Drosophila melanogaster: one gene and its partner. The protein of the gene in region 2 purifies or fractionates together with the protein of the main gene of each other region. This does not show direct contact. Each region holds a gene or a part of one and is shown on either strand. Other genes may lie near its edges.

Evidence for each region. The genes of interacting proteins can lie anywhere in the genome.
Region 1: the proteins of Cyp28d1 (region 2) and CG6656 purify together in Drosophila melanogaster (affinity purification with mass spectrometry, with the first as the bait; one large-scale study listed by BioGRID). This does not show direct contact.

What each region holds. Positions count from the first base shown.
Region 1 is NT_033777.3:21,871,967-21,879,337, forward strand, and holds CG6656 (uncharacterized protein), read left to right. Parts: upstream 1-3,326; 5' UTR 3,327-3,523; coding exon 3,524-3,664; intron 3,665-3,748; coding exon 3,749-3,844; intron 3,845-4,381; coding exon 4,382-4,510; intron 4,511-4,608; coding exon 4,609-4,722; intron 4,723-4,794; coding exon 4,795-4,932; intron 4,933-5,029; coding exon 5,030-5,434; intron 5,435-5,500; coding exon 5,501-5,665; 3' UTR 5,666-5,822; downstream 5,823-7,371. Other genes in the region: CG31431 (uncharacterized protein), read left to right, coding at 69-174, 444-559, 622-835, 906-1,555; CG31178 (uncharacterized protein), read left to right, coding at 2,193-2,846; CG34148 (uncharacterized protein), read right to left, coding at 5,981-6,111, 6,267-6,453, 6,521-6,622; P5CDh2 (delta-1-Pyrroline-5-carboxylate dehydrogenase 2), read left to right, coding at 6,532-6,611, 6,844-7,371.
Region 2 is NT_033779.5:5,207,866-5,214,806, reverse strand, and holds Cyp28d1 (cytochrome P450 28d1), read right to left. Parts: upstream 4,348-6,941; 5' UTR 4,306-4,347; coding exon 4,112-4,305; intron 4,057-4,111; coding exon 3,918-4,056; intron 3,854-3,917; coding exon 3,746-3,853; intron 3,617-3,745; coding exon 2,986-3,616; intron 2,927-2,985; coding exon 2,657-2,926; intron 2,595-2,656; coding exon 2,428-2,594; 3' UTR 2,362-2,427; downstream 1-2,361. Other genes in the region: CG7742 (uncharacterized protein), read left to right, coding at 221-490, 784-970, 1,024-1,117, 1,167-1,419, 1,475-1,944, 2,011-2,092, 2,145-2,318; Cyp28d2 (cytochrome P450 28d2), read right to left, coding at 5,588-5,751, 5,814-6,086, 6,157-6,784, 6,842-6,941. UniProt on the Drosophila melanogaster protein: May be involved in the metabolism of insect hormones and in the breakdown of synthetic insecticides.

The sequences.
Region 1 (7,371 bases), on a different chromosome or scaffold from region 2:
CAAAGTGTTCGACAGGTTCCTTCGGCGATAGCAAGTGGAAGACAATGTCGCGGATATGCTAAGTGGAAATGGATCCGATGATTTGTGATCTGTGGTCTGGCCGCATTTGGCTATTGATACTCATTTGCCTGTGCGGCTTTCAGCAGTCCCGCTGTTTTTTTGTTGACTATACAGGTGAGTTTAGTTCTTACTATAAGGGTAATTTTAATTTCGAAGATATATATATAAGTACGTGCATATTTTCATTTAGAAGCTCTTTTTGTTACTACACATTTCCGCTTTCATTCGTCAAAATATTCAGAAGGTTAATCGCAATTTCGGGGAGCACAACGCTTGATAAGATACTGTCAATTTGGCTATCATTGACACAGAAAAAAGTAAACATTGCCATTGCCTTGATTGAATGGTTCGGAATTTTTGTTATATCTTTTTTGCCGGTGCAGAGAACACAGAGTTAATTCAACAGAGAGCCGGATTCGATGTCAAGCTGCAGTGCAATCTCAAAGGTCTGGTCGATGAGAGTATGCTGAATGACATCAAGATACATTGGTACTTTAAGGTATGTACTATTATTATTATTATTATTGTTGGTACCCATTGATTAGCATTAAACTATTTCAGCAATGCAGCGAAAACAATTGCCATCAGTTGGGATCTGTGGACGAGTGGACTGCTCTGCCATGTGAGCCGAGTCTTTGTCGTCCGGAACTCTGGCTCCGGAATGTGACGGAGCGGTATTCGGGACTGTACAAATGCAGCATTAATCCGCACATTTGGGATAAAGCCCAGGCTGTGGATGTTCAACTGGTTCGCACCTATCAGCTGGATGTTAAAAGTATGTACAATTTTCATCACCATATATACCATATACCATATCGAAAATTATGTATAAATTCTATTTGTAGACACCTCATTGGCAGCCCCTGAGTTTGTGGACTCGTATCCCAACAACAAGACCACATTGGTGGGCAGTAGGGTGGTGTTCCAGTGCCGTGTTCACAGCGAGGAGCATCCCACAATCAAGTGGTTTCGCCGGCAGACGTACGTGGGAACTCAGTCAGGTGGCGAAGCCTCCTCGGCACCCACAACCTCAAATTTTAGCAACCATATTGTCCGGTACAATGGTCGAACATATGAACTACTGTCCACCGATCCAGAAAAGATGATGGCACCCCAGATATATCTCAGCAAATTGATTCTGGACGGAGTGAGATTACGAGATGCCGGACACTACGCCTGCGTGGCCATCAGCTATCGAGGCCATAAGATCCGCGAGGCTTTCCTGGATGTGCTGGCCGATGTGGAGGATACGGATCAGGAGAATGAGTACTGGTCGGACTACGGTAATGAAGATGAGGGAGTTCCGACTAGCGATCGACGGGAGTTCCTGCTGCTCTTCCTTATGCCACTGGGATTGGCTCTTCTTCCATTGACCGTGTGGTTCAGTTATCTGTTGTACAAACGTTGCTCTGTGGGACACGGCGATTGCCAGCGAATAGATTCGGACGAGGATCTGGACACGGAAAGGTGTGTCCTCGGGGGAAACAAGCATTAAAACCGAATATTTTTGAAGCTGCACTACGCTTATTAAGATTATGGATAAAGACTGTCTATAGAGTTATGAAAAGTAGACTTACAATCTGAAATAAATATATAATTTTTTATGCGAACTTTAGAGCTAATCGAGTCAACTGTAATGCCTACATCAATAAGGACATTTTTAAAAATCTAGAAAACCTATACTTTTATGCCACTTGGTTGTCTGTGAAGGTAGTGTTCGCATGTAACTAAGGCAAGCTAAGCAAAGTTCAAAATTTTCGTCGAATGAAATTCCAAATTTGTTTCGTCTTCAGTTTCCGGCAGACAAAGTCCTCATTTGGACACCGCCGACATCGCCATCATCGCATCTGATTACAGCAATCCCATACACGCTACAGCAGACTGCCTAATCCCCTAGAGAACTGGTACTCGATATCCACAAAACTGATGATCATCGAACTTTGCCTGGAATTTCACTTGATGTGGGAATTAAATGTTCGCATCTATTTTATGCGAATGAGAGTGGCCATTGTTAATCAACTGGAGCCAATTGGGGACTTCTCCTACTAGAATTATTCATAATATCGAGCAAATTAACTATCCAGGATCAGGGTTAACTAGACGTCCATTTGTTCAGGAGCAAACTGGCCAAAATGTCTGGATCGAGGCGACGCCGTACCGTTATGGGATACTACGAATACATAATGCCCGGGATTTATGAGTATCCTTTGATCCAATGTGATGCGAGTGCAATCCGTTCCTATAGTATTGACTCCATAATGACCAGTGCTTCATCAACTTGGTCAATTCCAGATAGCAATGCCGCCTATGTAGCTGGACCAATGGGCGTTATCCACTATCAATCGGATATGCAAACGCACTTGGCTCTGCCAACTAGGCAAAATCTGGAAACTGGTCTTATATATCCAACCATTGAATCCAACTCATGTTTCCATGAGCCAAATCTAGAATATGTTCAAATGGAGAATGAGCACACCGATGACGACGAGGGATACGGCTATGAAATTCCCGAGATTGTTCTCTGCTTAAACCGTTCAAATTCAGAGTCCGGCGCAGCTGAGGAATCTGGCGATTCGCAGCGTTCGTCAAAGAGTTATTCATCGGTGGAGATTAGCGAGCAGTCAAGATCGGGGGAATACGTTAAATTAGAATCGGTTTTCAGGAGGCGAAGAAAAGTATCGCAGAAGCGCAAATATACCACCGAGCAGGGTTACCTGGTTGAGGAACCCACCAGCGAACCATCTGAGGAGGATGCCGAGGAACAGGCACCAAAATCCAGAAAATAGATATCTCATATTTCAGTTCAGCATCTACGTTTGACTATAGAAAAAAAACGTTACCCTCTTTGATTTTTCGTTGGAATTTGTAGTGATCAAAATATATATATTTTATAAATATTTATTTGGTTAACTTACATGTGTATATGATTAGCGATAGTTGTATGTCGCAAGGTAAGATATAAAGGCAAGACAAATAACTTGAAAAACAATGTTTTTCACATGAGTGCAAATTGATAGACCACCATATTGCACACAGTAGCACCTAGTCGAGACCCAATTTGTACTGCCAATGAGCGACTAATTTAATTATTCGCACATGTTCAAAGACTTTACTCTCGCGCAATGCCAAAATCACATGGAAAACTTGTCTCCCCGGCTCTCCGACTGTCTCTAGCTGGCTCTTTCTGTTTTATATAGCCTTCTCTCTCGCTTCTTAGCGCCCCCTCTCTTTCTGGCTGTGAGGCAACCTTCCATCGACAGTCGCTCAGTTGTTATACGGCTTTTGTTGCCATCGGACGTGACTTGTATTTATTTATTATTTGTTTCGTCGACGGGGGCAGCGAAATCGAAAACACTCGCTATAAAATAAACAAAAAACTATTTTTAGGCTGCAAATCTGAAATATATTTTCTCGATCAACTGCAGCAGGAGCATAGAGACGCCACCGCACCCCCTCCCTAAAAATGGACTGCAAATCGCGACGCGGCACCAAAATATCGGTGATCGCCCTGGGAAGTGCCCTCTGTTTCGTCATGATGGCATACTTTGTGTTCGGCGACAGCAACGACGAGCAGGGTTTGCGGAATCTACGCATGATATCCATAGTAAGCTGCCGCCACTTCTGGCATAAAGTTGTAAACAACGAGATCTGAGCACTGTGTTTATCAATCCAATCCAATGCCCACCAGCTGTTCCGACATGGTGCCAAGAATCCGAGTGGCTTCTATCCGTTGGATCCGCACGCTGCCCACGACTGGCAGGGCGGGATGGGAGCCCTCACGCCGGTTAGTATTCGATATACAATAGTATAGATTAGGATATGGATCCTACCTAAACTTTAAATTCTTTCTCTTAACTCAAAACGTATAAGTGATAACACATCAATTTTCAATAGGGCTGATCAAAACTGACACGCCCATTCTTTTGGAAATTTAAAAAAAAATTGTTTGATTTTCGTACTATTTGATATATTATTGCTTGCACTAGCTGAGAAACTAGACTATAACGCTCTCGTTTATGTTTATTTATTTTCCAATTAACACATTTTATCGTACGAATTTTTACACTTTAAAGAGTATTTATTAAACGGTTATCATGTAAATAAATAATGTCAATAATGTAAAACAGTGTGTTTCATTGCATTTAAAACTCCAATTTGGTTTTAATTTTATGATCCAAAATGATCAATGAAGAATGAATTATAGATGCAAGTTGGTGATATCTAAAACTTTAATGCTAGACACGTAAAACATACATTACTATTTAATATATTTTAATAAAGATATTTATATTCTACAAATTTCTTAAACCCCCTTTGACAGAAAGGCAGCCTGCAGGCGTACAACCTGGGAAGGAATCTGCGCATGCGCTACTACCGTCTGCTGCCTCCGAACAGCCTTTACACCCAGCAGCAGGTGAATGTGCTCAGCTCGGCCGCGGAACGCTGTGTGGTGCGTCAATTGTTTCGATAAGAAATCCTCTATAACTCTATTTGCTATCTGTCCGAGATGGTGGTGCCCTAATCAGTTGGCCGTGTGTTATCTTTTAGATGAGCGCCCAGAGCGTCTTGGCCGGCATGATGCCGCCGCTGGAGAACAAGAATGTGCTACCCATTCCCTGGCAGCCGGTGGCCGTCAATACGCTATCTCGCAATGAAGATATCGTGAGTGCAATTGTATATTTCCATTAGTCAAATGCAAGTCATCATCATAGTACTATGATCTAACTCTATTAGCTGTTGGCCCAAAAGAAACCGTGCTTGAAATATGACCACATTCTGCAGAAGCTTTACAAATCTCCGCCTCCTGAACTCCAGAAACTGAACGAGGACAACATGGAGCTGTACAAATTGCTAACCAAAAACACAGGCAAGGTGGGAGAGAGTTGCACCCATATTGGTTGTTAATTCCTTTATTGCCATACGATATATTTCACTTTTTCACTTCTGATATTATCATATTATCCTTTAGAACATTTCAAATGTACTGGACGTGGAGCTACTCTATGGCACACTCAAAACCGAAGAGGAAGCTAATCTGGTGCTGCCCGATTGGACTGAGAATATATACCCCGAGGAGATTAGGCCACTAGCTGAACGTAGCTATATGCTATTCACCGAAACAAATCTAATGAAGCGGATTAAGGGTGGCGCTTTCCTTACGGATATACTCAACAAAATGCAGAATAAGCGCAAGAGGAATCTCAATCCCGATCGCAAAATATTCCTGTACTCCGGTCATGATGTGACTTTGGTTAACGTGATGAATTCCCTGGGCATACTGGACCAGACTACCAAGCTTCCGGAATATGCATCGGCATTGGCCTTCGAGCTTCATCACAGCAAGTCTTTCAGTGATGGAGACTTTGAAGTGAAGGTTGGTATTGGTAGCGTATTACTATTAACTATGGGATTCTTACCAGTTTGGGTTGTTTGGTTGCAGTTGGTTTACTACTACAACAGCGAAGACAAATTCCCCAAGGAGCTGACCATTCCCAATTGCGATGCACCGTGCTCACTGACCCAGTTTGAGGCCTCTGTAAAGGCCCTGCTTCTAGATAACTATGATGAGACTTGTGAAAATCATCCGACCGATTGCAAAACATAAGATGCCTTCCAGACTTTGTTGAAAGTGTGTGTCGTTCTGGGTTGTTGTTTAAGTGTCTGGCCATTGCTAAGAAATAGTCAGATGTGATTTTGGATAATTTTAAATAATTGGTTTCAATTAATAGCTTTAAAATAAAACTAAGTCAAGTAGACAAACTAAGTAATGCAAGGTGTAGTTATCTCAAAAAGACAAATACATACATATATGGATGAGATATTTCCAGTGTTCTCTTCTAATTACATTAACTGAATATGCATATATTTAGATAAGAAGGCTTTTCTTCACATTTCACATTTTGGAGTTCAGGAAATCAAATCAAAAGCTTGAGCCCTTGTCCTCAGGATATAGAAAGTATATGGGAACTTTTACCGTCTCGCTGACATGAACGATCTCGGTGTGACTAATTAGACGGATGGCAGCCAGTCCATAGAAGAGCATTGGTAAGCCTGTGTAGAATTTAAGGATATAAATGCGGTCTTTTGGGAGTTTGATTAAACTCGAATGAGGACTTTCCCATATGCATTTCGGGATTCATTACAGGGCATACACCTTTTTCGAGTTACCACGGACCTATGTAGCATAATCCGTTTACTGGACTTACCCAAATTAATCACCTTAAGGAAGCGAAAGAACTTGTCCTCCAGCCAAAGATCCTGCACCTCCCTCTTGCTACAGTGGTACTTCATATAGGGATAACAGGCGGTGCGAAGAATGTGATAGTTGGTTCCGTTTTCCAGGGTCCAATTAAAGTGAGACATTCCCCTCTGATCGTTGGCCACATCGTGAAACTAGACTTGGAGCATATTTCTCATTAGATCTGGTGAAAATATTGGGGCGGAAAAAGGGGAGTCTTACCTTCACGAAATATGATGTCCAAGGTGGCTCATGGCATTGTTTCAAATATGCGGTCAATACTTCCGAGGCTCGAGGCTTCAGTAAAAGGCGGGTAAGCTGCATTTTGTATCCAAATATTGAAACTATTGCATCACAAAATAATAACAATTGGCTTTCATGGGTTTTGTTATTACTTTTGCTCTCTTATCGAATCAACAGCTGTTCTGCAATCGATAATCGACATACTGTTATTACATCGATAGCAGTAGCGATAAGTCGATAATTGCGCGTAATTTGAAATTATTTTTCGAACACATATTTTCTAACATTCAATCTTATTTAAGCCTCGTGTCTGTTAGAAGTACCAGCAAGAGACCCGAGCTATCCGAGCACTTTACGCTGGATGAGATGGTGGCCAACGAGAAGCTGCTTCAGTATGACGAGGGCTCAAAGGAACGCACGGAACTGGAAACCGCCCTGCTGGGCGTTCTCAATAGGGTAGAGCACGTTCCCATCGTTATTAACGGCCAGGAGTTCCAGGCCAAGGAGGACTTCCAACAGGTTCTGCCCTACGACATCCAACAGCCCATTGCCCATTACGGTCATGCCCACCGCGTGCTCATCCAAATGGCCATCGATAAGAGTGTGGAGGCGCAGGTGAAGTGGGACAAGGTCAGGCTTAGTGATCGAATTGATATTTGGGAGCGGGCAGCGATGCTAATTGCCGGAAGATACCGCTACAACATCATTGCGGCCACGATGTTGGGCCAGGGAAAAACGCTGCGCCAGGCGGAGATGGATGTAGCCGAGCTGGTGGACTTTATGCGCATTAATCCCGTCTTCCTGCGTGAGCTGGCCAACTACGAACCCAT
Region 2 (6,941 bases):
TCCGTCGCCAAGAAGCGACGACAACCGAGGATGTGACTCGGAATCGAATCGACTCCAAATCAAAGCAGGCGACGGAGTTTGATCGATAAAAGTCAAACGACGGAGTTAGGAGCGCCCAAAGTTTTGGGGCTAATCGGTATCAAAACGGTGTAAATAGTTAGTTGGTAGTCAGTGGCAGAGTAATACGTAGAAAGAACGGTCGGGTCAAGGAGCTATCGGCATGGAGGAGCTGCAGGATGCCAGCATCCACCATATGACCGCAAAGGTAATCGCGGCCATCAAGAACACTAAGAGCTACGAGCCCATCTACAAGGAGCTGCAGAAGCTGGTCTGCAATCCCAGCGTAGATACTCACGATATGCGCAACACCCTCGAGGATGCCATCAAGAGCGCCGGACTGGAGACGGAGATCCGGAATATTGTCTACAACCTGGTCCGCACGCGGCTGTCGAAAACAGATGACAAAAACCTGGCCAACAAACAGGGAGCGGTGGGTACAACTTTTAAGATACAATTTATCAAATTTCTTGTAATTGAATTTAGAATAATTGGAGTGGTATTTAAAAGTATTCCATGCTGCTCCTATCATTTTCTACTTTTTGACTTTATTGGCAAAATTTTATTTTATACCTTAACGTTTATAAAACAAATTATAATGATACATAATACCGGAAGATCTCGAAGTGCCACAACTATAGAGTTAGCCTTAGGGGTATTAGTAGTATGTAGTGCTAGGGAAAATGAATTAAATAGTTCTTTACTTATGTCTATATTTTCCAATAGAAACCCACCGTTAGTGATCCACTTGGATATTTAAAAAGAGCTGGTGTGCTTTGGGATCGAAGGGTTAGGAAGAGTTTGAATGCCATGTGTACAGAGCTGAAGGTTCCATTGCATGGACAACCAAGGATCAGTGCTGATCGCGAGGACTTTATGGCCAAGTGGAACGAACTGAGCAACTACAATATGGGTAGGCATTTCGTAAATATTGAAGCTAACAATTAACCATGGTTAAACTTCTAGATCTGGCCAACTATAGGCCTGTTTACGCTCCAAAGGATTTACTGGAGGTGCTACTCTCGCTAAAAGGACCCGCCAAAACCACTGAAAATACAGAGTAAGTTTTGGTTTAAATCAGTCAGGTAAATAATCATTTTGCTCATTAGTCAAATCCCCCAATGGGAGTTCTCCCACATTGCACTACCTGTGAAAAATCTTTTCGAGCTGCGTGCCCACTACGCGGATCTGCTGCGAAGTGATAGCTATTTGGGAGTGCCGGATCTTACGGTTCAGTGCCAGAGGATTCTGGAGGCCAGGCATGCGCCCATGTGCCAGCAGTTTCTGAAGAAGGGCTGCACACCCGCACCTTATAGGGGAGCTCTCTGGGCTTCGGTGCTGGACAGCAAGCTACATGACTACGTAACTACTGATTTTGGGATCAATAACCTCATTATACATCTCTATACCCCCGAAGGATATTGAGTACTGGCAAAAGCTGCGCAATGCCGTTTGGACTACGGATCACATCGTTGACAAACTGGTCTTCAAGGACATTCAGTTGACGGCCTCCAACGACGACCAGTACTTTGTGTTCGAGGACGTGCTCTACCAGGTGCTGCTCTGCTTTTCTCGGGACACCGATATCGGTGGATGTGTGGAATACGAGACGTTTCCGGTGAAGGGCAAGACCTACGAAGGTCCTCCATCGGGTGTGGTGCCCTTCCACGGCATCTGCATGTTTGCCGCCCCCTTTTGTTATCTGTATGACTCGCCGGTGAGTCTATACTATACATTCCGGGCCTTCTATATCCGGTACTGCCATCGCTTGACCACCATAAACACGCATCCTCAAGGGATTGTCAGTCTGTGCCTGCTCTTCGAGAAGCTGCTGCAGACATACGAACCGCAGTTATGGTCCCATTTCCGAGAGCTTCAGATACAGCCGTGAGTTGGGATTGGGTTTTTCGTTAGACAGCTATTTCACCCATTTCACGACATATCTTTCCTTAGCCTGCGGGTGGTCTTCAAATGGCTTATGCGAGCGTTTTCCGGACATTTGCCTCCCGATCAATTGCTGGTCCTCTGGGATCTGGTACGAAATACACCTCCGTTCTTATTGGCAGTACTTATCCCTTCCTTTTCAGATCCTTGGCTTTGATAGCTTGGAGATCCTTCCTCTATTCGCCATCATCATTCTTAGCTTTCGAAAGGAGAGCATCATGCAGGTGGCCTCGTTGGATAGCATCGAAGCGATTCTGGCAGACTTGTCCTCTATCAAGGTGCTGCCCCTAGTGCAACTAGCCCTAAGTCGAGACTAAAAGTGTGGTTTTAAGTTACAAAATTAAAGTATTAAGAGTGTTTGGAAATATAACATGTATGCAACTGGATAAACTATATTTAATATAAAGTCGTAACATTATTGAATAACTAATTGCGTTCAACAAAATCCAGCCAAACGCCGCCTTTTAAGGCTGGCATAAAGTAGGTATCATCAATTTCATTATCCTTGCGAGTTTTGGGATTAACCTTGATGTCGAAGTTTCGCACGATTTCCACCAGGGCAGCTTTGATTTGGGTAAGTGAAAACCGCATACCTACAAATTATGCATAGATTTTTTTTAGTAACTTTAATTGTTTCAAAAATGATGTTACCCACCGGGGCAAATACGTGGTCCATCGCCAAACCCAAAGAATAGACCCTGATCTCTGTACTTTTTGGCTCCGCCATTGATGTTCAGGAATCGCTCGGGCTTGAACGATTGAGGTTCCTCATAGTATTGGGGATCGTGGTGCAAGGCGTTCACAGGAATGATGACTACATCCCCGGGTCTCAGTTTCACGCTCACTCCGTTTTTGTTCGTCAGTTCACAGGGCTCAGTTACCACCTTGCGGGCAGCCAGAACAGGTGAGAAAATTCTCAAAGTTTCTGCAGATATAGATATTATACGCATACTAAATAACTTCAGATTTCGCCAAAAAACTCACCATGGATGCAGGCTTCGGTGAAGGGCAGCTCACTTATCTGTTCAAAGGTCAGCTCGGCGGTACCGATCTCCTCCCTCAACTTCATCTGCTCCTTGGGATTGCGTGCCAGGAAAAGGAGTGTGTGGGTAAGCACTTGTGCGGTGGTCTCGAATCCGTCCGTTAAAAATGTCATTGTGTGCGAGGTCAGCTCCGCCGCATTCAGTCCCTTTTTCTCCTGCAACTGCAACATGTAGTTGAGGAAGTCATCTCGCTGCTGTGCCGCCGGACTTTCCCGCCGAACTTGGATGCACTTCTGCATGAGGTCATAGAAGAACGCAGCCACGTCCTTGGCGAACAGCGAAACGGAGTAGAATTTCGTGATTGGTGGCCATAGATTGGCGACCACCGTGTAGAAAATGAAGCCAAAAGACTGTTCGAAGACGCGCTTGGTCATTCCCACCATGGGTGTGGGATTATCCGTGAAACTCTGGGCGGAAATGCCCAGGACACAATCGGAAATCACTTCGGTGGTGTAGCACAAGCAGAGATCCTTCGCATTTAGTCCTTGGGCGGGGGCCATCAGGCTCTGTCGCCTTATATATTCCACAAACTTTTTACAAACGCGCAGCGAGACGGGATAGGCAGCTTTGACCTTTTGGGGAGGCAGAGCGTTAATTGATTGGAGCACTTCAATTGATAAGGGTATCAGGGCCCCCAGTGAAAATAAACATTAGCACGAGATAAGTTTTGAATAAACAATTCGAGGGCAACCTAAGCTTACCCGATTTGCCGAAAGTCCGGGTGTAACTTCGGCGCGTCTTTCTTTCCAGGCCTCACCAGTCAATACGAACGGATTATTCGCCAAAATGGGATCCGTTTTGCTGTCGGTCTATTGTGTGAATTAACTTATGAAATGGGCTCCTAAGACCAGTATGTATTTGCAATCTACTCACAAACTTAGCCATCTCATTGTCGTGGAAGCTGCGGAAGTCACTAACATATATCTTGTGCGCATATTCCGGAGTTGTGACCATTAGTTGTGGAATTCTGGTTTGAAACACTCCCACAATGCTGTCGGTGTTCTTGTACTGCCTAATGAGATGATGCAATCAGTAACCAGATAACGTAGCTAACTCTATACACTTACTCATAGATCTCATCGATGTCGTAGACTACGTTCCGTTTCTGGGTGAAAACGCTGGGAAAACTGCCCACAAAGGGCCATGACTTGGCCGTTGGAATGCCCCTCTTCTTCCAGTAGCTAAAGTTCCATGTTAGAAAGACATAGATCAAGGCCAGGATGGCCGCAATTACAAAAAGAGCCGTGGAAATCGGACACATGGCACAACCTCTCGCCAACGCGGATGAAAACCAACTGGAACTCAATTGAGCTGCCGCAGTCATTTAAATTGAACTTGCGCGCCAGTCAAGTGGATGGATTCACCCAGTAAACAAATTGATCAAATTGCATTCACCACCGCTGTTAATATTTGTCGTATATAAAATTGCACCATTTGAAGATAATGCCTGATTTCGTTATCAAGATCAAGGGGCTACAATATACCTAGTCCTAGGTCATGCGCCACAAAGTAGTAGTACAAAAACTGTTAAGAAAAGCCATTTTATGATATGACGATGAAACAGAACTTTTCAGCTTGTCATTTCACTAAGTGCTCAAACTTACAATTATTGTACATGGCATATGTATCTAAAGCACGCAGATAAAGATGTGTTTTAAGGGAACGGTTTTAGTAGCATAGAGAAATGGAATAAACGGTTGTGAAATTAAACGACATATACATAAACCATAAACAATTAAAGGAAAAATAGCAATGTATCGACTTTTAAATAAATAAGTAGGATTGCAAAGTGCGATGCTTGATGAAAACAAAAAACAATGTGTCGTATTCAGAAGGTCCATCTATCAGTTGCATACTTTTCTAGGAATACAACATACCCATTTTCATTTAACGAGTAATGGGTATAGATACTCTGGACAAACAATGTGTGTAGCACCTAAGTAGTTAATCAAATTTCTGATTTCATTTTTAATTGGCGCATTATCTTATCAACACTTACAACAACACTTCAGCCATTTTACTATCGCTCTTCAAAATACGTCAAGCAGATGTCATTCAGTCGATTATCCGATCGCGTCTTGACGTTTACATTGATTTCGAAATTTCTTACGATCTCCACCAAAACTGCCCTTGAGCTTGAGCCTTGAGATGCCTATGATGGTGAATCGATTTCTTTATATTCTTTATACACCCCTTGATCTATAATTCTATAATTCTTATTACTTTTTATTATAAAATCTCAATTAAATCTTATATCTTGCAAGTATTTAAAATCGGATGGCCAACCTACAACCGACATGTTGCGCACTAGCAATCGAACTTGTTGCGCATGCAACATCACTGTCGAACCATGTTCGATCGAGCCTTGTTGTGGATCATCCGCAACATTTGCCTTTCTTGAGTAATAAATCTCTACTGCATTTTATTTTTTTTTTATTATCATGCATTAATCAAGGTTAATTTTAATTTTTGTTATTTCGAGCAAACAACTTCTCTTTATCCAGTTTTTTAAGCTTAAAGCTTACTATGATTATTGCTATTATTTAAAGGTCCTTAAAGTCCAGGTAAATACCACCCTTCAAGGTGGCCATGAAGAAAGTATCATCTATCTGATTGTCCGAGCGGGTTTTAGGATTAACCTTGATTTCAAAGTTCCTCAAGATTTCCACCAGAGCTGCTTTAAGTTGAGTCAGCGCAAATCGCATTCCTAAATGTAGAGATCGACTTATTGTAGTATGTGATTTTCAGATAAATTTTTATAACACCAACCTGGACAGTGACGAGGTCCATCGCCAAAAGCTAGGTAAACACCCCTGTCTCTGTAACTTTTCATACCACCTCCATTGCTCTCAAGGAAACGTTCCGGCTTGAATGTCAAAGGATCCTCATAATACTGCGGATCGTGGTGCAGAGCTTTTACCGGTATAGTAACCACATCTCCGGGTTTCAAGTGCACAGTGCGTCCGTTCTTGTTCGCAAACTCAAAGGGTTCGGTGACCAGCTTACGTGCTGCAACTTGCGGTGAAAACAAACGCAAAGTTTCTAAAATTATAAAATTTTATAATGTAGTTAAAGAAACTGAATATCAAGAGATCAAGATAGAATTTCCCACCATATATGCAGGCGTCCAGATGCGGAAGCTCGGACATTTGATCAAAGGTCAGATCCGCACTGCCAATTTCCTTGCGGACCTTATCTTGCTCCTCCGGATTACGTCCCAGCATCAGCATAATATGCGCTAGAACTAGAGCCGTAGTCTCGAATCCGTCTAGAATGAAGGTCATCGTATTTATCAGGATGTTATCCGTGTGCAGGCCCTTCTTCTCCTGCAACTGCAGCATATAGTTGAGGAAATCGTCGCGCTGTTGCTCTGGTTTTTCCAGTCTCAAAGTAATGCATCGCCGGATGATGTCCAGGAAGAACACTTCCGTTTCCTTGTTGAAGAACGGTACGCTGTAGAACTTGCGCACCTTTTGCCACAGGTTGGTAACAACGCTGTAGAAGATGAACTCAAAGGAGGTATTGAACACACGCTTTATCATTTTCAACAGCGGCGTGGGAGTGTCCGTGAAACTCTGGGCCGATACTCCCAGTCCGCAGTCGGAAACTACTTCGGTGGTGTAGCAAAGAGACAGATCCATGGCGTCCAATCCCTCGGAGGTGGCCATCTGCTGCTGTCGCCTGATATATTCCACGAACTTTTTGCATACGCTCTGCGATACTGGATAAACGGCCTTGACCTTACGGAATTCAAAGATAGAATTTTGATTGGATAGATGGTTAATGTGGTTCCTTACTCGATTGGGGGACAGTGCTGGCATGATCTCCGACCTTCTTTCCTTCCACTCGTCGCCAGTTAACACGAACGGATTGTTGCCCAATATCATGTCCGTCTTT